7 linked regions of the Coturnix japonica genome follow. The protein of the gene in region 1 interacts with the protein of each later gene in a biochemical or structural test. Links are inferred from orthologs where the notes say so. Each region holds a gene or a part of one and is shown in the gene's direction. Other genes may lie near its edges. The genes, in order: RB1, CEBPB, CDK6, CCNE1, CASP7, USP4 and CDK14.

Region 1 (4,363 bases):
CAGGCCTGCCTGAGTGGGGAACATTGCACAGAGGGCTGCTTGTGTGTGACCTGCAATCTATAAGCTGTTGGAGCGAGATGTTTAGAACCAAATTATGGCCCGATCTGATGAGAAAAAATAATTAATACTTTATTCTTCTTACCTTTGTCATTTTAATCCAAAAGCAAAAGGCTACACTTAAAAGGGGATGTTTTTAAATACAGGACTAAAACACTTAGATATCTAGGGAGGAAAAAAAAGAAAAGCAGCAATTTACATATAGCTTTATGTATGTATCTCTCTTATGAAGTACATACATACCCATTAGATCTTGCTGCATTTTAGGTGTAGTCACTGTAACCGAGGGATGGATTAGAGGTTACTGTAGTTCATCTGCTGCTCCTCTTCTCCTTCCGGTTCTCTGTAAGCTGTAGTGTGAAGTAATAAGGATATTTTTTAGTTGTTTCTGTGTATGGAAGAGAGCCCTGAGTGCCTTGTCTGATGAAAAGCTGCATACATTGACCTGAGCTCAGGCTTGGCACACTGAGGTTAGAAAAGCAGTATTTACACTGACACTGGTTGTCAGCTGTTGAATAGGATACAATATTCCCTAAGCGTTAACACACAGGGAGTTATGAGAGCAACACAGATTCTTTGCTTATCATTAGGGTGATCTAGAGCCTGGCTCCAAAAGCAGCTGAAGCAGCTGTGAGTGAACTGCCCAGGAGGGTGTGTTCCTCCTTGTTGACAGCTGGGAGGGTCATGACCAAGTTTTCTGAGATGCTTTGCTCTGGTTTTGAGCTCCTCTGTGCTCTTAACACCAGTTGTGAGGAGAGGGCAATGTTATTTCACAACGTTATGAGCACACTTGGTGAATATGTGGTTCTGACAGGCTGAGGGAGCCGGGCTTGTTCAGCCAGGAGAAGGCTGTGAGGAAACATCATAGCAGCCTTCTAGTGTTTAAAAAGGGATTATAAACATGAGGGGAACCAACTTGTGTAAAAGGGTAGACAGTGATAGGACAAGGGGGGAATGGTTCCATTTCAGAGAGGACTCAGGTCCTCTCCAGTACCAGTAAGGTTTGGTGTTAGAGAAAACTGGTTTGCAGCAGGTTTGTGCGGTGTGAAGACTGGGATTATGCTATGATGCTGTGTCCTTTAATACCTTCATCAATGATATCAACAGCGGGTTCGAGTGCACACTCAGCAAGTCTGTGGGTGCCATCCAGCTGTGTGGTGTGGCTGATACACCTGAGGGATGAGATATCCCTCAGAGAGACCCACGCAGGCTCGAGCAGTGGGGTCCAGGAGAACCTCACGACCGAATGGCCTTTAGGGGTCCTCAAATGATTGTACGATCCGAATTAACCCCTTCAGGGCAGCACGGAGCCATGTTAGAAGCGGAATAACGCTGACGATTATACGATCCGGAAGTGACGGCGTGTTGCGTGCGGGCCTTGACGCGATTTTCCCGCGGTCTGGGCTCTGGGAAGGGAAGGGAGGGGAGCGAAAAGGAGCGGGGCCCGTTGGTGGCCGCTTGTTCGGCGGGGGCACAACGGTCACTATGCCGCCCAAGCCCCTTCGCAGGGCGGGCGCCGCCAGGAGCCAGCGCACCAGCCCCGAGGGCGGCGGCAGCGCCTCACCGCCCGGCGGCACCCGGTAAGCGCAGCGCTACGGCGCCGGTATCGCAAACACGGCCCGCGCGTCCCCGCCGTGAAGCGGCCGGTGGCAGCGTGTTCCGCAATGCTTTTGTAGGCTGGAAGTGGGGGAAGCGGAGTTCGTGGCTCTGTGCGATGCGCTGAAGGTGCCGGACAGCGTGAGGGAGAAGGCCTGGAGGACGTACGAGAGCTTGGCGGCCGCCGACGGGGCTCCGGTGAGTGTGGTGACCGCTGTGGGGCTGCGGGACGGCGGAGTGACGGAGCACGAGTGGTTCGGCCCTGGAACAGGCTGCCCAGGGAGGTTGTGGATGCCCCGTCCTTGGAGGTGTTCAAGGCCAGGTTGGATGGGGCCCTGGGCAACCTGATCTAGTAAAGGTGTATGTTTGGTGGTCCTGCCAGGCAGGAAGGTTGGAACTACATGATCCTTGAGGTCCCTTCCAACCCGGGTCATTCTGTGATTCCGTGAGGCTGCAGTGTCTACTTTGGATGTGTGTGTGACCCGTTTGGTCGCTTTTCCGTGTGAGCCGCAGTAGGGAACCTGCTTTGGCAGGGGGTTGGATTGGGGCACCTCTTGAGGTCCCTTTGATCTGTGAAAGCAGCAGCCTGTGAACATCTTTATCCAGGTCACCTCCATGTGTGTGTGCGCAGCTGCCCACCGCCTCTCACTGTGCAATAAAGCCTATCCGAGAGTCTCTCAGTGTGTAGGAAAAGGCCTGTGCTGTGTTTTGGCCCAATCTTGTCCATTTTCCTCAGACTTCCTGACAGACCAGCAAGGTGTTGGGATAGGGATGCTGGCAAGTGTGTGCCTCCAGCAGGTGCTGGGGTTGCTGCTTGTAGCTGACACTAATGCAGGCTTCATTATTGATTTAGCAGAGGGTTGTTAGAGTTAGGGTACTATGGTTAGGCTCCAGTTGGACTTGATGATCTTCAAGGTCTTTTCCAACCTGGATAATTCTATGATTAATTTGAGCCTGAAATCCAGCAAATTAACAGCCTGGCTAATTGCTGCTTCTCTTCCCAAGTTGAGCTGTTACCATGTCTTTGCACCACGACTTTTTGCAGTAGCTAGTGAGCATTCAGGGTAAGGCTCTACTTAAATGCCAATCCTCTGAGGGACAACTTGGAGGGCTAATGAAGAAGCAGCGTGGCCCTAATGTAAGATGCTGTATAACTGGATGGGCACTCAGGGTGTGAATATGGGCTTAGGCCTGATCTGAACACCTGATGTATCCTTAATCAGTGAATGGTAATAAAAATAACTAGTATTAGCTGTCACCTAGGGTACGTGTAGCTGTCTGCAAAGAGATTCTGCAATCAAAGCTTATTCATAGAATCATAGAACCACAAGGTTGGAAGGGACCTATAAGATCATCTAGTCCAACCATCCTCCCTTTACCATACCTACAGAAAACCCCCAAACCATATCTCCTAGCTCCCTAAAAGATTATATATATATTATATATATTATTACTGTTTTGGAAAGTGCATACCAAGATAGCTGGGATACAGGGACCTATGAGCCTGGGTGTGCTTGTGCTCCACTAAGATACCTCAGGGTGCCTGGCCAGGCAGGCATCAGCCAGTGTGAAAAAGGCTGGTATCTGCTGCTCTCTGAAATGAACCCTCTGTGAAGCCACCAAACCTGGCTTGCTGTCTTTTTCCTTTAAGGCTTTACACCTTTTCATGTTGTGCTTTTCTTCTTCCCCTTTTGAATGTGAGCTACTAATGATCTTTCTTCTGTCCTGTAATTTTACCTTCCTCACCTTGAGATGTCCACACTGCAGCTTTTCATCCTGCTCTCGGTTTCTTTGTTTCCTCAGCAGTTTGAGTCAAGGTTATGCAGCTGCTCTGTATCACAGCTGAGTCGTGGATCCTTGAACAGCTGAATGCTGGTGAGAGGTTTGCAGAAGGAGACAGTATTGCCCTCTCCTTTTCATAGCCTGTATGAGAGCAGCTTGTAGCTTATAATTCTAACCCTATGGAGAGAAGCCATTTAAAACATTACAACTCTGTTAAATGTGGTAGTGTTTTTCTTCTTCAGTGGGGAATATTAAAGCTGTGACAACCAGAGTTTAACTGCACTATTTTACAACAAAACTGTAATTCAGAACCTCACAGGCAGAATCCCAAAGGTTGATTCCTCAGATGCAGCACTGCTGATGGAAGAAGATATCTGATATGTGACTAGAAATATGATTTTTGCTTTAAATTCTTCCTATATCTGGTGAGCTCCAGTGCAAATATCATATAAACATGGTAGTGCGTATATAGGTAAGTTCTGTGCTAATGTCATCAAAAGACTTTACTTCTTGTCTACCAAACTAAGTTACTTAGGTAAACAAAATACTTGTTTATATATACTCTAAATACTCTAAAGTCATTTTCACTCTTACACCCTGACAGCTGTTGACTCTGGAAACTGGCTTCTTGAATGGACTCTAATTGTAACTGTTCCTAAATCTGTGTTAAGAAGCAGTGATGCCTCTGAGCCTCTAGATGGAGTAAATGGATATACTGGAATTATTTATTGGTCTCTTTATGGGAGAGGACCTTGAGGCATAGAGTCTGATTTCAGCCCATCTTGTTGCAGCACACGGTGCACGGGTGCAAGCTTTGCTTTGTTGTTTGCTGTTCCTCATAGCACTGCTTGAGAAATGTGGCCTACTCTATTCTGCTGCTGTCAGCTCTTTGTACGCATGAATTCCTGAGTCGCTTTTAACTAACTAT
Region 2 (4,186 bases), on another chromosome or scaffold:
AAATGTAAACGTAAAAATATAAGAAAGACAAAGTCTGGTGATCCACTGACATATTTCTGAATTCTTCCTCTTTTCGAAGTTTTGAGGTTTGAACATTATGAACAGTTGACTGTTTGAATCGTATAATGCAATACCTGTTCCTCTGGCTTAACGTTACCATATTTCCCACACCGCAGGATTGCTTCACATTATTCTAAGAGGCAGTGTCATTTTCCCTGCAGTGCTGGGTCTTCTTTACTGAGGCAAAGGACACTCCTACTTCCTTTAATTATATGTTTTGTTTTAAATTAATGTCCTTTATTCTGGGGATGAATCACCAGCTTGTAGACAGGTAAATGTGGGAGTAAGAGAGTGAAAATAAAGTTTGATTCCCAAGGTGGGTGTCTTTAATTAAAACGGACATCGAGATTCCGTCTTCCTTCCCAAACTCACCCCGCGATTCTGACAGTGCCCGGATTCCACGGTTCCGAGCACGTATCTCACTCTCTCTGAGTTTAAAGGAATGCCTTTAAACACGGTCCCCTCTGGCTTCAGACCGCGGATTCCCTGTCGCCTTTGTACCCTGACAGTTGCACGGTATCGTGCAAAGTAAATACACTGAGGCAAACTTCAGTCACGGTCCCCGCACGCAGAGATGGGGAGCGGAGCGCGGCGGCTGCTCGGCTCTGAGCTCGCTGCCGTCAGGATGCGGCCCCGGCTGCGCCCCGCTCCAAACTGCGCTCGCTCGGCTCTTGTAAAATGGTTCTGCCCGCGTCTGAATGGGACGGTTCTGCCTGACAGTGCGGTTCACTCAGTCAGGCGCTGGACGGAGAATAAGAGGATCTGTCTTCTATTTGCAGCTTTTTCCCCCGCTTTGGCAAAAGAGCTCGGAAAAACGCCTTCTGCCTCGATTTCCCCAGGGGTAAAACGGGACCCAGACGGGTTTTGCACCCAATTCTGCGCGGCACACGCGGCCCCACAGCGCCAGCCCTTGCTCTCAGACGCGAAAGGCCCGTCGCGCTGGCAAAAGAGCAGCGGCGGCACCGGAGTCCCGGACCGAGCGGTGCCCGCTTTCCCCGCAGCCGAGGGACAGGGACGGGACGGGACGGGACGGGAGGTCTCGGCCGCCCCGATGCTGGCGGCGGCGGCTCCGTGCGGTCCCTTTCCCGCACAGCTGCCCCAGGGCCCGCACCTCACCCGCACCCGCAGCCGGCGGCGTCCCGGGGGCCGGAGCGGCAGCTCCGAAGCGTGCAGCGTGGCATGCGGCCAGGCGGTGACGCGCCTGTTGCTATGGGATCCACCGCCCCTATAAATAACAGAGCGAAGGAACTTTCCTAAGTCAGAGACTTGAGGACACGGGCCCCGCAACCAGATGGTCCGCAGGAGAACCGCCAGCTCCAGCCGCAGCTCCGGGAGCGGGAGAGCCCCGCCGCGCCGCACGGACTGAGCCGCCCGGGCGGGCAGCGCAGCGGGGCCGTGCCCAGCGCCGGGCTCGGGAGACCCCCACCCGACGGCGGCCGCTCGATTCCGTGCCGGGGGGGCCCTCCGCGCCGTCTTCTCCTCCCCGCATCTCCCTTTGCTTTCATGCAACGCCTGGTGGCCTGGGACGCAGCATGCCTCCCCATTCAGCCGCCCGCCTTTAAATCCATGGAAGTGGCTAATTTCTATTACGAGGCGGACTGTCTAGCTGCTCTCAACAAGCTGCACCCGCGGGCGGCCGGGGGCCGCTCCATGACCGAGCTCACCGTAGGGGACCACGAGAGAGCCATCGACTTCAGCCCGTATCTGGACCCCTTAGCAGCATCCCAGCAGCCGGCGCAGCCGCCGCCTCCCGCAGCAGCAGCAGGGGGCAACTTTGAGCCTGCCTGCAGCAGCGGCGGCCAAGATTTCCTTTCCGATCTCTTCGCCGAGGACTATAAAGGCAGCGGCGGCGGCAAGAAGCCCGACTACACCTACATCAGCCTCGCCCGGCACGGCCACCCGTGCGGCAGCCAGAGCCACAAGCCGGGGGGGCTGCCGGGCTGCTTCCCGCCCCAGATCGTGGAGACCAAAGTGGAGCCGGTCTTCGAGACCCTGGACTCTTGCAAAGGGCCCCGTAAGGAAGAAGGGGGAGCGGGGCCGGGACCGGGGGGCATGTCCTCGCCCTACGGCAGCACCGTGCGCTCCTACCTGGGCTACCAGTCGGTGCCGAGCGGCAGCAGCGGGAACCTGTCCACCTCGTCCTCCTCCAGCCCCCCCGGCACCCCGAACCCCTCCGAGTCCTCCAAGTCGGCCGCCGGCGCCGGGAGCTACTCGGGGCCGCCGGCGGGCAAGAACAAGCCCAAGAAGTGCGTGGACAAGAACAGCGACGAGTACCAGCTGCGCCGGGAGCGCAACAACATCGCGGTGCGCAAGAGCCGCGACAAGGCCAAGCAGCGCAACCTGGAGACGCAGCAGAAGGTGCTGGAGCTGACGGCCGAGAACGAGAGGCTGCAGAAGAAGGTGGAGCAGCTCACCCGGGAGCTGAGCACCCTCAGGAACTTGTTCAAACAGCTGCCCGAGCCCCTGCTCGCCTCCTCGCCCCGCTGCTGACCCCCGCGCCGGGCCGCGGGGCGAGCTGAACGCTGCCCCCCCCCCCACATCCTCCTCCCGGGGCCGGGCCGCGTTTTCGGTTTCGTCGGGGGTTTCGTTGTTGTTGTTGTTGTTTGTTGTTGTTTCGGTCTCTATTTGCTTCCTCCCCCCGGGGCCAGGGGGCGGCGGGCGGCGCGGGGGGGGCCGCGGCCCCGGGGCTCTGCTGGGCGCTGGGGTTATTTAAAACGGCGAGAGGAGAGCGAGGGCGAAGTGATGCAATCCTTTAAGCATGGCTGGGAATGCTGTGTACATGATGCAATCTCGTGTAACTGTCAGTCATGGATTGAGTAATCTGTTAAAGATGTTCCTACAGTTTTTTTTTTTTATTATAAAGAATAATCTATTTCTATATGAAAATACATATGTATATTTTGGGATCTATGCATTCTTGCTACATTTGAAGCATTAATGAACGATTTTAATAAACTTTATGACTAGGTTAAAAAAAGTAGCTTGTTTTATTTTGAGGGTGCGTTTTGAGTCAGATGAAACGCAGGGCTGACATTCCAGCTGGATCTGGCTCGGCGCTGCCAGCAGGGATAGGACTCGCGTTGGTCTTTTGGCTTTCTCTGCGACTCAGAGAAAAACAAAAACAAAAACCCCAAGAGAAACCAGCAAAGAGCAGCGCTGGAGGCTCCAGCCAGTCCTCGCTGTCTCAGTTTGGTTCCTCTAATCACTTGCTTGAGCTGCCACTTGGGTACTGCCTGGGAAGAGGCGTTTGTTTGGGGTGGTGGTTTTTTTTTTGCATTTTTTGCTGTTCCATTTGTGCAGAGCGAGGTGTGCTGTCCAAACCGTGACCAATCTGGTGAAATAACTGCAAGGCTCAAGTGGGAGGGAGAAAGAAAAAGTGAGGGAGGAAGCTTTCACTTAATTCTTTTTTCTTCGAGGAGTTCCTGTTCTCTGAATTATGATTCAGTGTGTCTTATGTTTGTAGTTTACAGGAATAAACATGAGAAAGTAGCGCCTCTATTGGATGTCGGTAATGTGGTCACTGCCCGGAAGCTCTCGCGAAAGCCGCCAGGTGAGAGGCACATCACCAACCCCTTGACTTTCCTCTTGTGATGCTCTTCTCAAGCCTGTAGCTGGAGTTTCTCTGTTGAGAGGTGTTTGTGTGTCTGTTAGCTGGGAGAAAGCAGCTGATAAGTGAGGATGGGGCAGGCTCTGTTAGACTATAGATCAGGCTGGAGCTCTGTTCTGCCTGCTGATGGAAAGATGTGCTGCTGCCGTGCCCTTCATGCTGCTACCAGAGCTCTGTGAGCAGCTCACGGGCTGGTTATGTGCACGGAGCTGAGAGAAGGACTGGGTCTTACTCAGCATGTTCCATTTTCCTGTTAGGCCAACTTGAAGCACTATTTTAAAATCCAGATTCCCAGTGCCCCACAATAGGAACTCCTTAATCGTCTGTGCTGAGTTGAATCCAGAGGAGTTTTTATTTACCAAGAGAGTGGGTTTGAATTTGCTGCAGGCAGGGCAGGATTCCAGGACAAAGCCTGAGTCTGTCACTTATTCCCAGTGTTCCCTTTAGCAAAGTGTGTTTCCTACTGAAGGAGCTGCTGTGCGTTTTTGTCATTTGAGGTCCTATTTCTCTGGCAGGTAA
Region 3 (3,720 bases), on another chromosome or scaffold:
CATTCAGTAAATATCAGACTTGGGAATGCCATCACCAAAACCACATGTGGTAGAACATATAAAACTTTTGTCGTTTCCCTAAAAATTTCTGCTTCTTACTGTTTCCATTATGAGACTTTTGCAAAGTTAAAGCTACATTTTTGTCTCTAAGGAAAGTATCTTGGTTCGTCGCATCCCAGAATAGCTGTTTTCAGCAGTTACAGATAAACATTTTAGGTCTGTACATAGACTGCATTGAAAATGCAGCCTGAAAAGGGAAAACTTTAAGATCATGATTATCTGAAAGCAATCACTTGGAATAATATATATATTTTCAACTCAATCAACAGCTATGGTAGGGTTGGTGAGATTGGTAGAAATCTCTAACTTGAAACAACCGTTGCTATTTGGTATCTATTTGTAAGTATAAAATTCCCAAAGAATATCAGATTGAGATTAGAGCGTGACTTGTTAGAGCTTGCTACTCAAATCTGCGAAGAAATGAATCTTCTTGTTTGTATCATTTTTCAGTTGATTTATGAATTGTGATTTGAACTGCAAATCAAAAGTGTGGTATGTTAAGGTACTGTAGAAGGTATCTCAGGGAAATGCAGACATAGAACAAATGGTGGCAATTGGAATAATGCTAATAAAACAAAAGAGCATAACCAACTGTCCAAAATGAACAATAGAGAATAGCCTATGTGGAGTGAATCTGGATTTCCTTGAAGAAGAAATGTAGCACTTTTCCCCCAGTTTCCCTCCGTAATACATTTTTAATGTACGCTTTCCTGATATTTCCTGATTTCTGTGTGTGTGAACAAAACTTCAGTAAATACTGTTAATCTTTCGAGTTTTGTGGAAGTAGAGAAAGAAATACCAATTTCCTTTTTCAAATATATATGTATATATACTTGATGCATGCCTGGAAGATTGTGAATTCAGAAACTGAAGATGTTGCTTGCAACTTGCAACTAGCAGAGCAGAACTGCATTCACCGAGCTTCAGGGGGAAATATGAAACAGAAACAGCTTGAGAGAATTCTTGATATGTTTGGTAACTGCAGGAATGAGTTTACATTCTTGACAAATGAATAGGATGCAGAAGTGTCACAAAAAGGGACTTGCCAGGGTCTACTGACTAATACTGAAGTTCTTTAAATTCAGGTTGGTTTTTTTTCTGGTATCATGTTTGTCTGGAATAAAATAGTTAAGCCCAAATTCAGTGAAAACATTAAGTAAGCGCTTAAGATAACCACATGGTTAAATGTTTTTGCTATGTTCTGTTCCTCTTCAAGGCTCTTTCAAAGACTACTGGGATTTGATTTAAGTTAAAACAGTGACCAGGTATTACACAATTCTACTGGTGTTGGGGACCTGCAGAGCTGTATTCATAGCTCTTCCACATATTTCTGAGTTGCAAAGGGAAAATACATAAATACAAGAGGATTCACTACACTTTGTATATTTGTTTTAGGGGAGCAAACCCTATTACGCTAGTTACCAAAATGACCAGATCTGTTTTTCTTGAGGAAGCAAAGGAAATAAAAGGCATCAGAATGGAGAGCTCAGTTTACCACCATCCTTCAGAGGTCATTATAATTAAATACTGCCACAGATTCCATAGATTCATGTTCGTATCATCATTTTCTGAGTCTTCAAATCAAAACTGATCTCTATATCAACAGCCCACTGTTACTACTGTTTGGCAGAAGGAGTTATAGGCTGTATATAATAATGGGCATGTTTTATCAAAGGTCAGATTAGAGCTTCCAGCCTTAGTATTTATACATTATATAATATTTTCTGTGGTGATGGCTGGGGACGTTTCATTTTATATTAAATTACATAGCAGTGTCAAAGTTTATCTTAAGAATACATCCAGCTAAAGCAATATTATCAAGTTGAATATTTTGAGCTATTTTAAAATCAATTTTCAGATAGGATTCCTTTTCATAGTGTGCTTTGAATGTTTTCTTGTAAAAATGTCTAAGGTTTTTCCTGTTCCTCTGATGATCACAGTACAAAAGCAACCAAACTCAGTTTTTCCTTCTACCTTTTTCTTGTGTCTCATACCATCCACCTCTTCAAGATCATTTTGGTTGCTAGTAACAGGATTGGCAGAGAGCCTGCTGCATTGCTTGTGGAAAGCACATATGTTAGCAGCAAGCACAGGGCTGGACTTTCATCAACTAGAGTCAAGTGCACACAGAAAATCCTAACATATTCCTTTTGTTTCTTACTCACTCCAACATTTCCTTGTAGCTGTTTGTTTTGCAAATACACTTTGCCAGTTGATGGTATCCCTCTCATTTGGAATTCTGGGGATTTCTAGTGTTTACTTTCGAGTCTCTTGGTTCATTCCTTTCATATTACATAGATGAGTATGAAAACATGAGTACAGATGAAATAGTGTCTTCTGCTGTGGAAGTGTCATAAAAGATTGCATCACTATAACACAACAGAAAGCCAACTGAGAATTATTACACTAATTTAGTGCTAAAGTTTGATCTAAGCAGTTTCTACACTTTTCAGTATATTCTATAGAATGGGTTTTGACAAGTAAACTTTTTTCCCACTGAAACATTAAATTCTGACAAAATGGTCATTTAATTAGCTTTTCTGTTTGAAACAGAGCCTGTGCCTATTGAAGTGAATAACGAGATTTCACTTCACTGAGGCAAGAAAAGCAGACAGCTGGGAGGTGCAAAGTGGTGCGTGGTTTAAAGTTAAAACCAAAATGCTGCAGTATATTTTTCTTACTTGGACAGCATTCTTTCAAAGCTGATATGTGTTTTGCAGACATGCTTTTGTTCTTTAAGTTTGTTGACCAGTCTTTATATTTTTAACAATTAACCACAAATAATTCAACTAGAAACGATACGTGAACTTGATAAGTACACCTATTCAAGTCAGCAGGTTCTAGCAATATCCTGTCCATTTTATATTAATAGGTGTTTTTATCTCAAGTCAGTACTTACTTAAATTAGTTCTGCAGACTGTGGCTGGGTGTTTGCTTGTTTGCCTTGTCTTGATAACTGCATATTGATTTCATTATACTTAGGATATGATGCTTCAGCTGTTTCGGGGACTGGATTTTCTGCATTCACATCGTGTGGTGCATCGGGACCTGAAACCCCAAAATATCCTTGTAACCAGCAGTGGGCAGATAAAGTTAGCTGACTTTGGCCTTGCACGAATCTACAGTTTTCAGATGGCTCTTACGTCAGTGGTGAGTTTCTGGAGGCTTTTATTTTTCTTTTAATGCGGCACAGTCCTTTAGTCTCTATGGCTCTGATAAACAGCGTATTGTAACTCTGATTCTAAAACCATCTCTACTGTTAAAGTTACTTGGGTCTGCAAAACAATTGCTTTCCTGCCTGGACTGAATTTGTTATGGTTACTTTGTAAAAGTAATCAATTACTGATTGCTGGTTCTAAATTAAATCCTGACTGATCTCTGAAGGATAGGTATGTGCTAGTTTTCTGAAACCTCAGCAGTCTAGCTTCTGTTGTGATTTTGGCTAGTTTGGCATGTTGAACCCTGTAGGTATGCTGAAAGTTTCCAAAGTATACCTGTTTAAAGGTAAAACTCATGTTGATGCTGAGGTGGTCTTGCCTGAAAATAATATGCAGATGATAATTTTGGAAATGTCTCATTCATACCCGTGATTTCCCATCTTTGTGAATATGGATTTGGTGTTTGCTCCCATAATTTACTGAGTGATTCCAAATAGCACGG
Region 4 (4,241 bases), on another chromosome or scaffold:
AGTGTGCCAAGCAGAGCTAAGTAAAGCAGCTTGTCAGACTGGATGATGAAGCATCCTACATCCAGATACCTAGAATGCCAGCAACAGTTCATATTGCTGTCAGTTTTCCATCTGTTTTATTTTTTTTTCTCTTTTATTGACTTGATTCTTGGGAATTGATAGTAATCCTATTTAAAAGACTCAAATTAGTTTGAATCTAAGCTTTTCCAGTTCCACAGGGTGTGTGTGTTGTGTAGTTCAGGTTTTGATACTTGGAGGGCCTACTTGTGTGGAAATAAAAGGTGCAGGTTTAAATGTCTTCCTGAACTCGGTGGTTTTAGGTGCTTTCCATGATTTCTAGGTCACTCAGACTCAATTCAATTCACTGGGTGTGCAGAAGCAGCTTTGTGTAAATACTGCCACGGGAAGAAGGAAACCAGGACTTACAACTCCAGCATCCTTGTAATCTTCTGCTTCTTGACAAGCTTGCTCAATTATTTGTGCCAACGGAAGAGAATTTCTCGGTGTCCCTGCAACAACAGTGCCATTTACCCCAATGTGAAGGCAAGCCATACAGCCAGTGATGCTTTTCTGATAACGCAGTTATATGCGCTGACATAATAAAATAGAGAGAAATGGGGTAAAACAGTTAAACGAGATGTGCTCCCCTTTGCTGAACGTCACAGCTCAGCTGTATCTGCTCGCTCCTGAAGCCACTCACAGATCTGAGGGTATTGATGCGGTGTTGTACCGGCACTTTCAGCTCTTTTACGGCCCGGCACACAGCCATGAGAACTCGGGCCGGACGCAGCACCACAGGGAGCCACGTGTCCGAGCTGTCCCGAGGCCTGTGCACTCCGCCCGGCCTATATCTCGTCATCCCTCATCTCTCTGAGCGCTCCCCCAGCGCTGCGGGTTCCCTCAGGTGCCCGTTCTTCCCCCGACCCCTACAGCCATGCCGCCCACTTTGCGAGCGGGTCCCGCAGCGCCGCGTGTTCCCCGTCCCGCCCCGCGCTCACCTGGCAGCGCAGCCACATGCACCACGCCGAGCACCGCCGCCCGCAGCCGCCCGAAGAGCCGCGGCCCCGCCATGGCAGCCCGTGTCTTTGGTCCCGCTGCCGTCGGCTCAGCCGCTCACCTCGCTTCACCCCTCCGCCGCGGGGTCGCGCCCGGGGCCTCCCGCCCCCCTCCCAGCTCCGCTTCCGCCCGGTGCCGCCGGCCCCGCCCCTGCTCACACCGTGTGATCCCGCTCCCCGCGGTGCCCCGCGCTCCCCCGGGGCCGGAGCGCGCCCGCAGACCCCGCCCCACCCGGGTGCCGGCCCCCGGCTCTGGGCGCGGGGCCACGTGTGCGGGCGGGAGGCGGCCCCGCGCCGCGCGTTTAAATGTCCCGCTCGGTGCGGGCCGCGATGTGCGCAGGGACGGGAGCGGCCGCGCCGTGAGGCAGGAGCTGCCCGCGGTTGGTGCCCGCAGTCGGTGCCGTGCCCCGCACGAGCTGCCCCGCCTCGTCCCCGCCGCCGTCGGGCGGGCACCGAGCGCCGCGCCCGCGCTGTGTCCGGGGAAGCTCCGGGGTGCTGAGCGCTCAGCGGGTCCCGGGGCGCGGCGGGGCCTTTCCGCGCCTCGTGGCTCTTTGTGGGGGCTGCGGCTCCCGGCTCCGCTCGTGCTCTCGGTCCGGCGGCGGGCAGCATGCGGAGGGAGAGGTGAGTCCGGCCGGCCCTGCGGGTAGGCCGGCTTCTCCGTTAGCGAGGCCGGGTGGGCGGCTCTTTCTTAACGCTTCTCGTTTCTTGGCAGCGACTGCGCGGAGGAGAAGGCTCCCGCCAAGGGGGAAGGGGGCGCCGAGGGGACCGTGCGGGCCCGCAAGAGAAAAGCCGATGTGGCCACGGTGAGTGCAGGCCCGGCGGGCGGCACGGCACGGCCTGGAGGGCGGTGCGGGCCTGGAGCTGCTCCCGCGGCCTTTTGTTGGGGGGTGGGTGGCCATGTGCTGCAGGGGGGGTGAGCGGCCCTAAATCCCTTCTTTTCTTTTTGTAGTTCCTACAGGATCCCGATGAAGAAGTTGCCAAAATTGAAATGAGTAGGAAAAAGCAATATGAAAGCCAGGTAATGACTGTGGCCTTAGATCACCTTCCTTTGGTCTTAGTAGCCTGTTGGTGCAGGATGTTGGTATTACACAGATATGCAGTTACCCCGTGTTGTGTGGTGGTGGTTGAGGGGACCACCAGCCCAGGCTGTTGAAGGCCACAAACCACCTTAGTGGCATGGCCTGCTTTGGAGCCTTTGCAAGGGATGAAGCCTACACTGCTTTAAACCATTACGTGAATGCTTCAGTGTACCTAAATGTCCCGGGGCTGCCAGGCTGTGCCCTACAAAAGCCTTCATACACACTTAGTTTTCCACACTGACGTACCTGGAGCCTTGTAGGAGTTCAGTGGTTCACTTACGTGCTGTATCCCGCAGGCCAAAGCATGCAGCCCTTTGGCACGCAAACAGAACCAAGTTTTGAGATGGATCTCTTTGTAACCCTGTCTTATGCTTACATATAACCTGGGAGAGAGGAAAGATCACTTGTTCCTCTTAGTTAGCTCTATTCTCATTGGCAAGTGTTTTTATTAGGTCGAGGGAGTACTTGAAGTTCCAGATTAGGAGTTTATAGTACTGGATACTACTGTGGTGGTGATGTGGGCTTTAGGCTTCTGCAGATGAAAGGGATGATTTGTTAAAAGCCTTTTATACTGTAGGCCAAAGAACAAATGAGGCTGCTCGCTGGGGTTGGTGGCCAGTGCCAGTTTCCAAATAGGACACTTGGCATGATCCAAGTTACTAAGTCAGACTGAACTCCAGTAGCATCCCCTAAACTTCTTAGTGCTGTTCTTAAGTTCTTCAATCTTGATACGTTAGTCGTGTTTATATTGGGTGCTTTATTGGTATCTGGTATTGAAAGCAAGATGCCTTTGTGCATTGAGATGCTTGCTCTAAATAAAAGAGCAAAATCAGCCTCTCGGAAGTAGGTTTATTCTTGTTTATGATTCTCTCCTGTGCATATGCACACACATGCTCACTCACTCTGTTGCAAGGACTTCAGCCAGTTAATGCACATGCAGGGTGATACTTAAGCTGCAAAAGTCATGATCAGGGAGTACAGACAGTACTCATTTGGTACGCGAGGCTATGCATAATGTGGCACATCTAACCAGAAGTGGCAGCTGGAAGTTCTAAGACTGAAGTGCTACCATAACAGATGGGCATCATTGTTTGGAATGGCCTCTGCTTGTTGCAACTGCGTACACTAGTTATCAGTCAACATATTAAGCAGGGCTCAAATGGTGAGCATTTAATGAGGGGATCTCTCCTTCCCTTCTGTCTTTCTTTTGTGCAGTATATTAAACTAATTTCTCACTACTGACAAGGAAGAGCTGCCTGTCCTTCACTGCAGACCCCTCCTTTAGCAAAACATTCTGGAAGAGCTTCTAATAAATGTTTATTCCATAATAATAAGGTACCATTGAAAAAACCCTTATTGCAATTGTAATTTGAAAAGCGGCTTGAAATATATTTTGCATACATTGATCTTCAGCTTTGGAAGTAGATACAGGGATACAGGCTTCCAATTTACTGGGGCTTTTTCTTTTTTCTTTTTCTTTCTATATGGTGTTGCTATTAAATGCTACTTCAGGAACGATAGGTATAGCAATATTCAGATAACTCAGGCAGGAGGCATCCAAAGTATTAATTTAGGAATTTTCCAAGCTGTCTTCAGGACGCTGGTGGGACTTTGGCCCTTTGATTCTGTAAACTGTAGATAAAAATGGATACCTGTGTATCAGTCTCTACACAGAGAAGGTTTTTTTGTTATGACAAAGTAGCCAGATTGTTACAGATCTGTTTAAAAAAGCTAACATTTGGCTGCACAGCAGCAGCTCTTCAGTCTATGGCTTGACACAAGCTATTCTCTGATATAAATTGCCATGGGCCACTAATGAGAATATGTTTATGGTTCCAGCAGCAGTATCGCAGGCTTGTATGATAGCCAGTGAGATAGTTATTCTGTTGAGGCACAACAATTCTAAAATGCAAGCAGCTATAAATCCTCTGCAGCCTGTTCCACGTGACTTCTACATTAAATAAACTGTTTACTGACACTAGGTTATACATGAGGCAAAATATCGTAGTCACATCCCACTTTATGGCATCTTCATAGTCAATTCATTAGTTTGCTTCTGTTGAACATAAGGCCTGAGTTCTTAATCAGAATGCTGTTACCCTTTATG
Region 5 (3,720 bases), on another chromosome or scaffold:
GAGAGCGCTGATTGAAGAATGTTTCTGTCTAAGGAAAGAGACCAGAGTGACCACTAGTGGAGTGAGGAATTAAAGCATGGCTGTGGTTAAAAACTAAAAGAAGAGGGAACAGTTGTAAAATATAAGTTTCTATTTAGACTGGACAAGTTTGAATCCAAAAAAACAGGGAAATTAGACACTGGATATCAGAGAAGCAGAAAGAAATAAAACTAAGAGCAGATAGTTGACAACAGTTTATAAAAGCACATAATTAACTCATGGAAATGCTCTCAGAAATCACTGTGATTAGAAAGCTTAGAGAACAACGGTGGTAAACATTTATGTTAATGTGTCCAGTTCAAAGCTTAGAAAATCACAATTTGTCTAGAAAGCTTTATGCTTTCAGTCATAAGACAGCCTGTCACTGACAAGGAATTTCCCTTTAGGACTGATTAGTACATTTTTATTACATTATTAGTCATTATTACAAGGTATGATTTAATTTGTTTAAACTGAAGATTGGAACCTCAAACTGTCAGCTTAAGCCACTCAGGCAATTCCCAAATTGCCCTATTTTGGCACAGCAAATAAAATCCTAAAAAAAAAATAAATAAATAAATAAAAAAAAAAATTCTCCCTGAATTGCAGTGTGGGATAAGTGTACAGCACAACCTTTGCTTTCTTATTCATTCAATTTGGACAGATACCAAAAGATTTCTGGAACTGTTTTGTTGTCTGCCAGTAAAGGAACGACAGGCGTAACCCCACAAGATACGCTGTGGTTGCTTATTATCTGATTATCCTGTTAAGCTTGGAAGCAATCACTAGAACAAAACCATAGTATCCTTTGTGAAGGAATGGGGAAATTAAAGGATGGATTCATGTGGACTGTTTCACTGGCAAGGCTTGTCTGTGACCTTTGATGTTGAACTGCATAGAGCTTCTGGCATGCTTTTGGGAATACCAGCAGTAGCTATATCTCTTAAAGTCCTGAGAATTTCTGCATGAATGAGTGCAAACTATTGAACTCGGAAGTTAAGTGGTTTCAGAGAAGTTGTGTGGCTGCTTTACTGTGCCACTTAACCCCAGCTGCTATTTTCAGCAAAGATCTTTGTTGGGTAATGTGACTGCGTGACTTGTCTCGAATTAGATCATTTCCAGCAGTGTAAATATGATATTGCACCATGTAGGTAGATCTATCCCAGGTGTTCAGGACTGTTCATGGATTGAACATCAATAGAAATTTGTGTCTATTGTCCCTTGTGTCATTTGTCCCTTGAAAACATCTGAGTATGTGTAACATCCACGGATAGTCATACAGCATATTCAGGAAGTCAGTGAAGGTGGATACATTTGTAGAAACTTGAATAGGGCATGGACTGAGGAAATTAGTCTCTTCACTGACCTGAGTGCTCACTTCTTGTTTTGAATTTTCTTTTTCCCTTTTCTTTTTTCCCAAGAGTTGTCTTTGTGATGTTGGACTAGGGGGAATTTTAGGCCAAAATAAGAATCTGTGATCTCTTTGAAACCCATCATGCATCCATAACATCATGCAGCTGCGGATAACTCTTTAAAATGGTTAAAATCTTTTCTTGAGGCAAAGCATATTTAATTATTGCTCTCAGAGCCCTCAAGAAGCAGTATGCAGGGAGAATACCAATATTTGTGATTTGCCAGAATAAAACCATGTACTTTTGGAGTATCAAATATAGTCCTCAAGTAGGTATAATTCAAAATCTTCTTTCACAGTTTCTAAAAGTCTAAGAGAGGAGATGACATTAGGATGATGGGAAAAAAGAGTATGGAGAAAGCCTGCCAGATGCAGCTATTTAATTTGGTCACTTAGAGCATGAGGACACTCAAAGATAAGAAGAAACTGTTTTAAAATTGAATTGCCATGGCATTTGAACATGATGAATCATCTAGAGATGCTTTATTATGGTTTCCAGTTAGTCTTGCCCTTTAGTAATGAAAAATAGGACACTTGGAGACTCCAACAATTGCTAGAGAACAACAATTGTTAAGTCAGGAAGATAAGAAAGTACATTTCCTAAACAACATTTAATCAATCCACAGCAATCTCATCTGTGAGGACTATTAGTGAAGCAAAAAGCTTGGTAATTTTCTAGAAAGATGTCAAAGTGGGAACAGTGAAAGTACTTCATTGACATTAATGGTACAAATCTAATTTTGTTAAAATGTTGCAGTACTGCTAGTTGTGCTGAGAAAATAGGTTATGTTTTCCTCTTATACTTCAGCAATGAGTACTACTGGAAGCAAGATGCTGATACCTTCTGCTCTTTCCCAAGTATTGTTTCTAAGCAGGCCTGCTCCAAGGCTTGCTTGTATTTCTGAAGTTTCATCAGAGCCTTTGAAGGCTTTCACTGGCTTCAGTTCTGCTTGTAGAGATCATCTCAATGTCAAAAATCACTTGGCTGGACAAAAAAGTCCACCTCTAAAAGCAAGCACTGCTGAGTTCCTCATGCTTGTACCTCAGATGTGCATGCTGGTTATCACAGATTCATTCTATAGTATTTAATTTAGAATAAATTTCTGGGTAAAGTCCATGCTGTATCTCACCATCTTTTTCTAATTCAATCTAAGACTCCATCACAAAGCAGAAAAATCACTGCACAGTTATACTAATGGAGAATGTCTATAGGATTTTCTTGTTTGTTTATAATGAGGTTGAGATAGTGATGACGTCACACTGAATGGCACTTAGTTTTTAGCATAGCTTCAAACTATCGATTGACAAACCACGCTAACAAATGAGCTGTCAATATCTATAACCTTTATCAGTACAAAATACCTACTGCTCTTTATCACTTTCAGAGAATTTAGGGATGATTCAATAAACAGATCCCATTATGCCACATAGTAAATTGTATCTGCTTGTAATGCTTGCAGTAGTCATTAAGGAAGATCTGTCTGGGCTTACATGAATCACTTACAGTAAAATTAAAATAGTACTTACATTTAGAACCATAGTTTGCAAAAGACTGCTGCCAGCCTGATATTTGGTCATGGTCTGTACGCATTGCAGTTGATTGCAGCTCACTCAAGAGTGATTTTACCATCATCAGTATCCAAATACTGCACGGAAATCATGAGACTTAAGCCATGAGTTAATATCTCTACATCTCTGTATGAAATACAAAGAAAAAAAAATATAAGAGAAATAAAAACATCAGGTAGTGCTGCCCCAATGGTATGAGTTAGAATAAATAAGCACATTCACATGACAGGTCATTAACAGTGTTTTCATTTGATTCACACAGGAAAAAGAAGAATGGAGAAGAAGAACAACCAAAGTCCACCCTCAGTAACCAGTACCGAATTGTTACACCCACATTCCAGTATAATATGAACTACAAGAAGGTTGGCAAATGTATAATTATAAACAACAAAAATTTTGAAGACAAAACAGGTAACGTTCTTTGTCTTACTTGAGAAGGGAGGTTGGACCACACGACCTCCAGAGGTCCTTTCCAACCTAAACCATTCTTCGATTCTGTGATTCAGTGACACTTATTGCAGATACTTTCATTAATCAATAAACCTGTTATTTTTAGGACATGGAATTTTAATGACTATATTCACTTTATTTGATAAGCAGTTGTTCATACTGTTTGTTCCTGTTCTTTAATCCTTATATTAGAGTAGCTCTTTACAGCTCCTTTGCAGTAGGTGGTTAAAAAAAGTACATCAGCTTGTTCTGCCAACTTTTAACTCAACTTC
Region 6 (4,510 bases), on another chromosome or scaffold:
CGTTTATCTCCTGGCTGCTGGGGCTGTATTGGCTGGAAAGCAAAGCAGCAGCTCCAGGGCAGATGCACACCAGCAGGATGATGTTACTCCAGGATGAAAATCAGCCAGCAGAAATACAAACCATCCTGCTATAAACGTGCTGCAGTCCCAGCAGTAAATGTGCAGAGCAGGTGAAAGCCTCAGCCTCACTCCCTGCCTGCTGTAATCACACCCAGGCAGCGGGTGGTGGTGGAAGGGGCAGCCTGGAATCATTCCTTAGTGACACACACAAATAAGAGCAGTCCTCGTGCAGGCTCCTGCACTCCAACACTACTGTGTGTTGGAACCACGTGGGAAAGAGACATTTCACTGCACTCAGATGATTCCGTAGCCTGAAGACATTGCCCCTTCCATATCTGGCTCTTATCTACACTCCTACACCTTCCTACTGTAACATGTGTCTGCTAACAGCTACTCCCTTGCCAGCGCACACCTTGCCCTTCTATTCCTCCACCCATCAGCCCCAGCTCCCCCCCTTTCCCAGAGTGTTTGGCTCTCCTTCCCCACACCTCATGACTGGGGTGACCTTCTAAGCTGCCACCAACTCCTTGAACCTTTAAAGGAGTTTAGATAGAAACAGTCAGGAGCTGCAGATAGAAACTATCCTGCCTTTATCTCCCGGCTTCCCCAGCGTTCTGCCCATCAGACTCAAGCACATCACCCTAAACCATGGACCAGAAGTGTTTTCACAACAGAAATGCCATCAAAAGGAGAACAAAACAAGCCTATTAAAGGCTCTTTTGGCTGTTTTATAACTCCTTTCTCCTTCCTGATGAGCCGCATTGCACACACCATCTTTGCACACATAATCCTTGCACACACAAGCTTCCAGAGGACTCGTTATCACTGTTTTTCATCACGGCCATGGGCAGACAGGAGGAAACACCTCTGACAGCTCTGTTAGCAAGCAATGAACGAGGCGATTCTGTTCCCTATGAGGGAGGTCACCATTGCAGGGCCCAGCCATGTGTGCTGACTCACTGTGACAGCCATGACTCCACTTGTGGCTGCACTCTTAACCCCGCTGGCACTCACTGATGGATCACCCTGCCCTGCTCAGTGTTTAGATAACAGAGCCCCTGAACCGAGCAGATAAGGAGGCTCTGCTGGTTGTTTGCACCAAGGAAACAGGAGGCGCTGTGATACTTAATGCGTATGTTGCGATACTTCATGCGATACTTAATAAGTCACGTAACTCTGGGAAACCTCCGCACATGTAACACACGAGCACCACAAGGGCGGCTCGCAGAGGCTGTTCCATGACTCCTACCAGCCCCTCATTGCTCAGCTCCGCCTTCTCTCTTTAATTCCTCTCCCAATCCGACCCCCCCCCCCCCCCCGGGGGAAGCGGGTTTGGGGGGGGTCACAAAGCGCAGCACAGCGGAACTCAAAGCGCCGGGCGCGGATCCCACCCGGCCGAACCACGCCCACACCACTTCCGGTCAGCCCGGGTGGGGCCGTAAAACGGCGCCCTCGCGCAGAGCGCATGCGCACGAGGCCGATTTCCGGTAGCGGGGAGGTGAGCGCCGCAAGATGGCGGCGGCCCAGGGAGGCGGTGGGACGGTGCGGCCCGAGCTGGGCCCGGAGCCGGCGGACTCGGCGACCGTGGAACCGGCGGCGGTGGAAGCGGCGGCTCCGAGCCCAGAGGAGCAGCGGGCCGAGCTGAGGCCGCTGATGGCCGCGTCCATGAGGCTGGGGGAGTCCTGGTGAGCCCGGCCGGCCCTCGGCCGCCGCCCCGTCCCTGTGCTGGCGTTGGGCTGGCAGCGCTGAGGGCCGCGCCGGGCCGTGTGTTACAGGTACGTGCTGACCAGCCGCTGGTTCGGGCTCTGGAAGCGCTACGTGGGGTACGACAGGTGGGACGTGGCCGGAGTGGGAGACCCCAACCTCTTCCCTGGGCCCATCGACAACTCGTGTCTGCTCGGAGGTGAGTGCGGCCCCACGGGGGGTCCCCGGGGAATGGAGGGTTGTAAGGGAGCCGGGCCTTATGTGCGTCTCCATTCCAGATGGGGAGACTCAGAGCTTAAAGGAGCATCTCATCGCACAGCTGGACTACGTGCTGGTGCCCAGCAGCGCCTGGCAGAAGTTGGTTTCGTGGTATGGCTGCATCGAGGGCCAGCAGCCCATCGTGAGGAAAGTACGTTTGGGTGGAGCAAGGTTTGCTCAGCGTACCTTTGTTATCTTATCTTTGGGGCTGAGGCTGATTGGATGGAGGCCAACGAGACCAAGCACCAGGTCTTGCACTTCGGGCACAACCCCGGGCAATGTTATAGGCTGGGGACGGTGCAACTGGGAAGCTGCCTGGAGGAAAAGGATCTGGGGGTGTTAGTTGACAGCTGGCTGAACATGAGCCAGCAGTGTGCCCGGGTTCTCAAGAAGGCCAAGAGCATCCTGCCTTGTGTCAGAATCAGTGCAACCAGCGGGAGGTGATTGTCGCCCTGTTCTCCACGCTGGTGAGGCTGCACTTCAATTACTGTGTTCACTTTTGGGTCCTTCTCCAAAAGAAAGACGTTGAGGCCCTGCAGTGTGTCCAGAGAAGGGCAATGGAGCTGTGAAGGGTCTGGAGCACAGTCCTACAGGGAGCTGCTGAGGGAACTGGGTTTGTTCCACATGGGGAAGAGGAGGCTCGGAGGAGGCCTTATCTCTCTGCAGCTGCCTGAAAGGAGGTTGTAACAAGGTGGGGATCAGCCTCTTCTCCCAGGTAACAGTGATAGGATGAGAGGGAACGGCCTGGGGAGATTAAGTTGGACATTGGGGAAAATTTCTATTCTGAAAGAGTGGTCAGAGACTGACACAGGCTGCCTGGGGAAGTGATTGAGTCACTGTTCCCAAAGGTGTTCAAGAAAAGGGCAGATGTAGGACATGGCTTAGTGGGTATGGTGATGGTGGGTTGATGGTTGGACTTGGAGATCTTTCTAACATTATTCTGTGGTGTTTGTTTCACTAGTTGTGTGTTGAAAGAATAACATCAGGTTATGTTTAGCTTGTTGTCTCCAATAACGTGACTTGTCAATGTTAAAGTGCCTGAATCCTCATTGACTCTCTGTGAGTGGGTTACATGGGGTGAGAGCCGTGAACCTTGTTCCAGTTACCTTCATATGTTTATGATTGTTTGGAGTAGTGCAGTGCTTTCATGTTGCGTGCAATAGTTCAGGCTGTACTCAATGGGACAGAACAGGGCACTGGGATAAATTACCTGTTAATGCAGGTGGTTTGGGGACTTCCAAACAAGAACCTGGTTCTTGTTTTCTCTCCTAAAATTCTGGCACTCTCAAATCCAAAAAGAAGAGACATGTTTGTGGTTCTCTTTTATAAGCTCATAAGGTGTTTTTCTCCTGCATATGTAGTTATGAATGCATTCTGAGTAGGTAAGCCATTCTGAAAGGTAGAATCATGAGTCGCTCTTCTGAAATCAACTGAAATCTGTCAGTTGTTTACAGGTAAAAGGGGCTTTGTGGTTTTTAGTATTGGGTTTTCAGATCAAGTGTTGGCAGCACCGTAATTGTTGAGTGGTAGAGCTTGGAGCAAATGCTGTTTTGTAGACAAACAGTCTGGGTTGTCACGGCTCAATTAAAAGTAACTTCTTGTTTTAGAGTCTAGGATTGTTGCAAGAACTTCAGTCCGTTGTTAACCTGCCCACTGCAGTGGATTTTGCTGTTAAAAACACACCTAGAACAGTAGGACAAGGAAGTGAGCATAGTATTTAAATGAATAAAATAGCAAGTGAAAGCAACTAGCTTTTTGTCAGCCACGTGTAGTTAAGGAATAATACTGGTGGACTCACCATAGCACAAAGCTGGGAAGTTAAGTGTGAATTAATTATGAACTGAGCAGTTCATTGTGCACCAATGAGCTGAAAGCTGATCTCAGGGTAAAGAGAAATGCTCTGTGTCAGGGTATGGGGGAGGGCAGTTGTTGTCCCACAGCCCTGTGAAGCTGTGGCATCAGATGGTATGGATCTTCTCAGCTATTTTTTTCTCTTCCTGCTCCACTGACATTGTCAGATAACTGGCCTTTAAGATGTGCTTCTTTTATACTTTATGATTTTGTTTTTAATATCTTATTATTATTTGTGTTATTTTGCATCTTTCTGTGAGCAGGTGATGGAATTTGGTCTATATGCGAAGCACTGTGAAGTTGAAGTTTATCCTCTTGAGCTGAAGCTGTGTGAGAGCAGCAGTCCTTCCAACGTGATCAGCTGCTGCTTCAGCAGAAGAGACAGTGTTGGTAAGTAGCTCACTCATGCATTAAGCTGTTCTGATGCTTTGTCAAGAGGCGCTTTGTATCTTGCTCTGGAAGGAAGATGTGACTAGAACAAAGTCTAGCAGTAAGGTGGTCCAACTGGAGCATGTGATCTCTTAGTAGGGCCTGAGGGAGCTATGGTTAACCTGCAAAAGATATAGGAGTTTAGGGGCACCTCTTAACAGCCTGACAGGGCCCGTGAGGAGGGTTACTGAGAACACAGGAAGCGAGT
Region 7 (4,336 bases), on another chromosome or scaffold:
TAAGAAAGCATATGTCAGTTAAGCCTGGTTAATTACAAGTTCCTCAGAAACTCTATCCCTAATTGCCCAAAGAAAGCCACAGACTGAATTAGGGCAGTGTTTGTGCAAGTCTCTGCTGGGCAGCACAGCCCTCAGTGCGACTTGTATGCACAGGGAGAGGAAGGGCTTGAATGCTCAGCATTTGCTTCTGGACCAGAATATGTGTTTTCGTGGTGGTGGCATTTTCCTCTTCACCCAGAGGAGTACTCACAGATACTAGCACCAGATGTAAACAGAGATCAAACTCCTTGACTGTTATCAGGGACTTAAATGTCATCTTTTGCACTGACTGAATAAAACATCCTGAAGTGTATGTGTTCTCCCAGTCCCTTGTCTGTTTCTTCTTAATTTTTATATACTTATATTCCTGCTTTCCTCTCTTCAGTGTTTCAGTTTCCATGTCTCCATTATTTTTTTCCATAATACAAAATACCCAACATGAAATCAATTTTAACTCCTGTTTCAAAGATACTAAGAGGATCAGTAGGACTCACACCTCTGACAGCCCTTCTGTCTAACTGTAGACTCAGGGTTTGTGCACAGGCCACCCTACAGCCTTCTGGCCCCGCTCTATGGCAGGACACTTCCCCATGACCTCATACATCACAAGAGCACACGCACAGCAGAAAGCAACGCCCCTCCTAGGAAGGCCCCATGTTAGCCCCACGTTTGCCATCCCTGTGACAGGCAGGTCTGATCCCAAATTGCTCACAATTGCAGATGGTTCAGACTCAGCCCACATAAATGCTTGTCTAGACAAATGTGCTTTTAAAATTGAGTTAGCCACTCTGAGCTGGGGCACAAATTAATCCTGTAAATTGTGTTAACTGGCCTCATTAAAACCCAAGTCCTTTTTAACCAGATAACATGCATTAAAACAGCATTTAAAATGTGTAAACCTCAGTTTTAAAGTGTGTTTGTTCTCAGAAAAGGACGTGCTTTCTATTTTAGACCAGTCACAGACATCTGTCCTGACGGGTTAAACTGATTTATTTTCCAGTAACATTGGTTCAATCGAGTTAACCAGATCAAAAGCTCTCAGTGCTCATTAACCCGGAGAATAACACATATGAGAGTGAGTTACCTGGCTGCGTTTTAGGGCTAGGTGGGCACTGCAGACCAGGTGCCCTTCTCCCACAGCCACTCGAGCATCAGCTCAAAGCCAGGGGCTCAGCCAAGAGGGTCGTCTCATCGCACCACCAACATAAAGCGCTCGCACGTCCCTTCAAGGCCCCCATCTTGTACAGCAGCCTCAGGGCAGACGGGGGAGGACGGCTCCGCCTGGGGGCACCCCGTGCCCGGCCCCCGCCCGTCCCAGCGCCCGGCGGGGCGGGGCGTGGTGGGACACCGCCCTGTGGGCGGCCCGGGGCCGCAGCCCGGCTCAGCTCGGCAGCCTTAGTGAGCGGGGCCGGTCGCCTCCTTCTTCCCTCCTTCTCTCCCAGCCACGGCTCGGGGCTCCTCCTCCTCCTTTCTCCTCCGGCTCCCTCCCTCCTCCCTCCATCCGTCACCCCCCGGCCGCACTTTCCTTGCGCCGCTCCCGTTTGCACTTTCCATTTCGCTCCTCCGGGGCAGCCCGGTAAAGCGGTCGGGCCGGGGCTATGAGCCGTGCGGGGAGAGCAGCTGCTGCCGAGCCGTAGGGAGCCGTCCCCGGGCAGGGCCGGGGTGTCCCGCTACAGGCGGCGGCTCCCGGGCAGGGCTCTCGCTGCCGTCCCGTCTCGGGGCGGAGGGGCCCGCGATGTGCGACATGATCGACTCTCAGTCCGCCGAGAAGATCAGCAGGATGAAAAAGTTGCGGAGAACTTTGTCGGAGAGCTTCAGTCGAATAGGTGAGGCCCGCGGCGCTGCCCGGCGTCCCGGGGGGAGCGGGGGGTGCCCGGTAACAGCCTCATGCGGGTACCGCTGGGGAAGATCGGTGTGAGCTCTCAGCCCGTGCTCGAGTTAGCACGAAACAGGCTAACAAAGTGAGAATCGGCATTGCCCAGCGTGCTGCCAAACTGAAACCTTGAGGAAAAAAAATGCGGGGAAGCGAATTGTTATTGTGTGGCTGCGGTTCTGGCCGCTTATTTTTCGTTCCGGCTGCACATTCCTGGAAGTTGAGGCATGAGATGCTGAGGCTGATAGAGCCGGGTGGGAGACTGGGGAGGGCGGACAAAAGAAGTCGGTCTGTCATCGCCGCCGAGCCGTGCAGCGCAGCATCCTGAGGCAGCGATACCCACGGCGTCTCCCGGTACCGCCGCTTCGCGTTCGGCTTTGACACCGCTCGTTTTGCTCCGGGTTTTGTTCTGAGAACAATACCAAAGAGTTCAGCCGCCTTTGGAGCCGTATTCCTGCCGGATAGTGGAGCGATGCTGGGCTTCGTCCAGCGCCGGTTGGAGGTGTTGCTACGGACTGCCCGCAGCGGCGTGCTCAGAGCCGGGGAGCGGGGCGAGGTGCGAGGCGGCGGCGAGGGGCTGGGCTGGAGGCCGCAGAGCCACCGGGGAAGGCCCTGGCACAGCCCTAACCCTGCGCTCACACCGGCAGGTCAGGGGCCGTCGGGCAAATCTCGGCTCCCAGAGCTGCTCTGTGTCTCTCTGAGCTGTGCTCCCTCAGAGCCCTGGCAGGGAAGCGCACAGCACGTGTAAAGCTGTGATACCCAAGTAGTGGTGAGGTACCGACACAGGGGATGCCCAGGGAGGTGGCGGGGACACCATCACCGTTCACAACAAGTGTGGATGTGGCACTGAGGGATGTGGTCGCTGGGCACAGTGGGGATGGGTTGGTGGTTGGACCGGGTGATCTCAGAGGTCTTTCCAATCTTGATGTTTCCGTGATTCTATGAACTTTAGCTTGAAGTGTTAGGAGAGCATTTGACATCTGGTATCTTCCTCGTTTCCTTTTGGTTCGATTGCTAAGGTGGGTTAGACTGGAAAGAGCTCGTTTATGTTTGCAAAAAAATTTCAAAGGTGAATGTTTCAGTTCTGAAGTGGATATTAAGTCACAGTTGCAAGTCCCTCTGTTTCCGTATGAGAATATCTCTCACCCATATTCAATCTTATGTCTTAAGGCATTTTACCAGTTTGATTAAAAAAGTCACTCAGGAGTTTGATCTGTCACATGCTTACGTGTATGTACGGACACAGACAGCCTGGTACAGACCTGTGGGCAGGCTTTGCCAAGTGGAAGTCATTAACAAAGACAACACTTTAAATGGAAGTGCTGCTTTATCATTGCAGCATCGGTCCCACTAATGCCTTCTTGGCACCATGACCTCTCTGAGTGCTAACTAGTGGCTTTCTTGGGTGATTGTCTCTTTTGGTTGCTGGAACTAATGAAACACTTCAGTTTCTGTGGGAGTTTTGGCTGATTTAGGTGCCCTCACTGTTGTGCTTTCTGTGTACCAGGGCCCTTTGTGCAGTGCCAGAGCTGTGTTTGCCTGTTGGTGCTGTTCTGTTGTTGTAAGTCAGCTGCCACCAGCAAAGCTGTTCCACCCACAGATGCTCCGGTAATGTGAGCATCACGCTATTAAGTGCACTGTGAGCAAAAAGCTCTGATTTATCAGATTGAGGTTTGAACCGAGCCCGCTCCCTGACAGCCACAGCCGCAGATAAGCTCAAGCAAAGTGAGCCTCTGTTCAGAAACTCTCGGTTTGCATACCAGGAAATGCTCAGGTGTGACACGTGCTCCGCTTCACTTCTGTTTTGAGATTAAAGGGAGGAAACCAAACCCTCAGCAGAGAAAGCTCTTATTTTTATCACGCTGTTTTCACATCTCTTTTTGGTAATTGGGTGCTACTTGGTCAGGTCAGTAAGTGACTGAGTGAATCTGTATCTGATCTTCAGCTTTGTCAGTCATCCATTCCTTTACAATTTTTTATAAATCTGTGACAGTCTTTTAACTTTTCCTCTTCAATGTTTTCATAGGTTCAGGTACCTGGCAGCATTATGAACACGCTGGTGCAGATGATGCAAAGCGATGTGATCTTCCCCTGCCGAAGCAGAGATATCTCGGTTAGCTGGGCAGGGCAACATGGGGCATCTCCCAGTGCTACCAGCTCTCAGCTGCTAAATACAATCCTTCCAGTCCTACAGAGCCCCTTAGTTTTGATACTGTGGTTCCTGTTAACCTCTTTAGTAAGAGTAGCAGAAGTGCTTGGAGTTGTCATTGGTAGTGTGTTTTTGCTTTGGTAAACCAACACACAATAACTGCCTTCAAGACCACTTTCTCCCCACTGAGTACCACAGTCTCTATTTGTGGGGATGAAAATCAGCAAGGAAACCAAATGCTGATTTATTTCTTTTTTTTCTTTCCCAGTGTGCAA

What was found.
Region 2: the proteins of RB1 (region 1) and CEBPB form a complex in vitro, tested with the Homo sapiens proteins (2 studies listed by BioGRID, with this or other methods). The link is inferred for Coturnix japonica from reciprocal best matches to the Homo sapiens genes RB1 and CEBPB.
Region 3: of the proteins of RB1 (region 1) and CDK6, one has a biochemical effect on the other in vitro, tested with the Homo sapiens proteins (9 studies listed by BioGRID and IntAct). The link is inferred for Coturnix japonica from reciprocal best matches to the Homo sapiens genes RB1 and CDK6.
Region 4: of the proteins of RB1 (region 1) and CCNE1, one has a biochemical effect on the other in vitro, tested with the Homo sapiens proteins (9 studies listed by BioGRID). The link is inferred for Coturnix japonica from reciprocal best matches to the Homo sapiens genes RB1 and CCNE1.
Region 5: of the proteins of RB1 (region 1) and CASP7, one has a biochemical effect on the other in vitro, tested with the Homo sapiens proteins (2 studies listed by BioGRID). The link is inferred for Coturnix japonica from reciprocal best matches to the Homo sapiens genes RB1 and CASP7.
Region 6: the proteins of RB1 (region 1) and USP4 form a complex in vitro, tested with the Homo sapiens proteins (2 studies listed by BioGRID). The link is inferred for Coturnix japonica from reciprocal best matches to the Homo sapiens genes RB1 and USP4.
Region 7: of the proteins of RB1 (region 1) and CDK14, one has a biochemical effect on the other in vitro, tested with the Homo sapiens proteins (2 studies listed by BioGRID). The link is inferred for Coturnix japonica from reciprocal best matches to the Homo sapiens genes RB1 and CDK14.

The regions. Positions count from the first base shown.
Region 1 is NC_029516.1:151,017,887-151,022,249, forward strand, and holds the start of RB1 (retinoblastoma-associated protein), read left to right. Parts: upstream 1-1,420; 5' UTR 1,421-1,542; coding exon 1,543-1,637; intron 1,638-1,733; coding exon 1,734-1,851; intron 1,852-4,363. UniProt on the Homo sapiens protein: Tumor suppressor that is a key regulator of the G1/S transition of the cell cycle. The hypophosphorylated form binds transcription regulators of the E2F family, preventing transcription of E2F-responsive genes.
Region 2 is NC_029535.1:12,271,691-12,275,876, reverse strand, and holds CEBPB (CCAAT/enhancer-binding protein beta), read left to right. Parts: upstream 1-1,184; 5' UTR 1,185-1,563; coding exon 1,564-2,550; 3' UTR 2,551-3,558; downstream 3,559-4,186. UniProt on the Homo sapiens protein: Important transcription factor regulating the expression of genes involved in immune and inflammatory responses. Also plays a significant role in adipogenesis, as well as in the gluconeogenic pathway, liver regeneration, and hematopoiesis.
Region 3 is NC_029517.1:20,770,293-20,774,012, reverse strand, and holds part of CDK6 (cyclin-dependent kinase 6), read left to right. Parts: intron 1-3,042; coding exon 3,043-3,210; intron 3,211-3,720. UniProt on the Homo sapiens protein: Serine/threonine-protein kinase involved in the control of the cell cycle and differentiation; promotes G1/S transition. Phosphorylates pRB/RB1 and NPM1.
Region 4 is NC_029526.1:7,172,506-7,176,746, forward strand, and holds the start of CCNE1 (G1/S-specific cyclin-E1), read left to right. Parts: upstream 1-1,327; 5' UTR 1,328-1,662; coding exon 1,663-1,676; intron 1,677-1,767; coding exon 1,768-1,858; intron 1,859-2,004; coding exon 2,005-2,073; intron 2,074-4,241. Other genes in the region: uncharacterized protein F13E9.13, mitochondrial-like, read right to left, coding at 427-509, 999-1,071. UniProt on the Homo sapiens protein: Essential for the control of the cell cycle at the G1/S (start) transition.
Region 5 is NC_029521.1:24,417,378-24,421,097, forward strand, and holds part of CASP7 (caspase-7), read left to right. Parts: intron 1-2,956; exon of another isoform or gene 2,957-3,124; intron 3,125-3,260; coding exon 3,261-3,409; intron 3,410-3,720. UniProt on the Homo sapiens protein: Thiol protease involved in different programmed cell death processes, such as apoptosis, pyroptosis or granzyme-mediated programmed cell death, by proteolytically cleaving target proteins.
Region 6 is NC_029527.1:1,689,801-1,694,310, reverse strand, and holds the start of USP4 (ubiquitin carboxyl-terminal hydrolase 4), read left to right. Parts: upstream 1-1,532; 5' UTR 1,533-1,572; coding exon 1,573-1,745; intron 1,746-1,835; coding exon 1,836-1,963; intron 1,964-2,042; coding exon 2,043-2,173; intron 2,174-4,136; coding exon 4,137-4,263; intron 4,264-4,510.
Region 7 is NC_029517.1:19,844,307-19,848,642, forward strand, and holds the start of CDK14 (cyclin-dependent kinase 14), read left to right. Parts: upstream 1-1,413; 5' UTR 1,414-1,774; coding exon 1,775-1,865; intron 1,866-4,336. UniProt on the Homo sapiens protein: Serine/threonine-protein kinase involved in the control of the eukaryotic cell cycle, whose activity is controlled by an associated cyclin.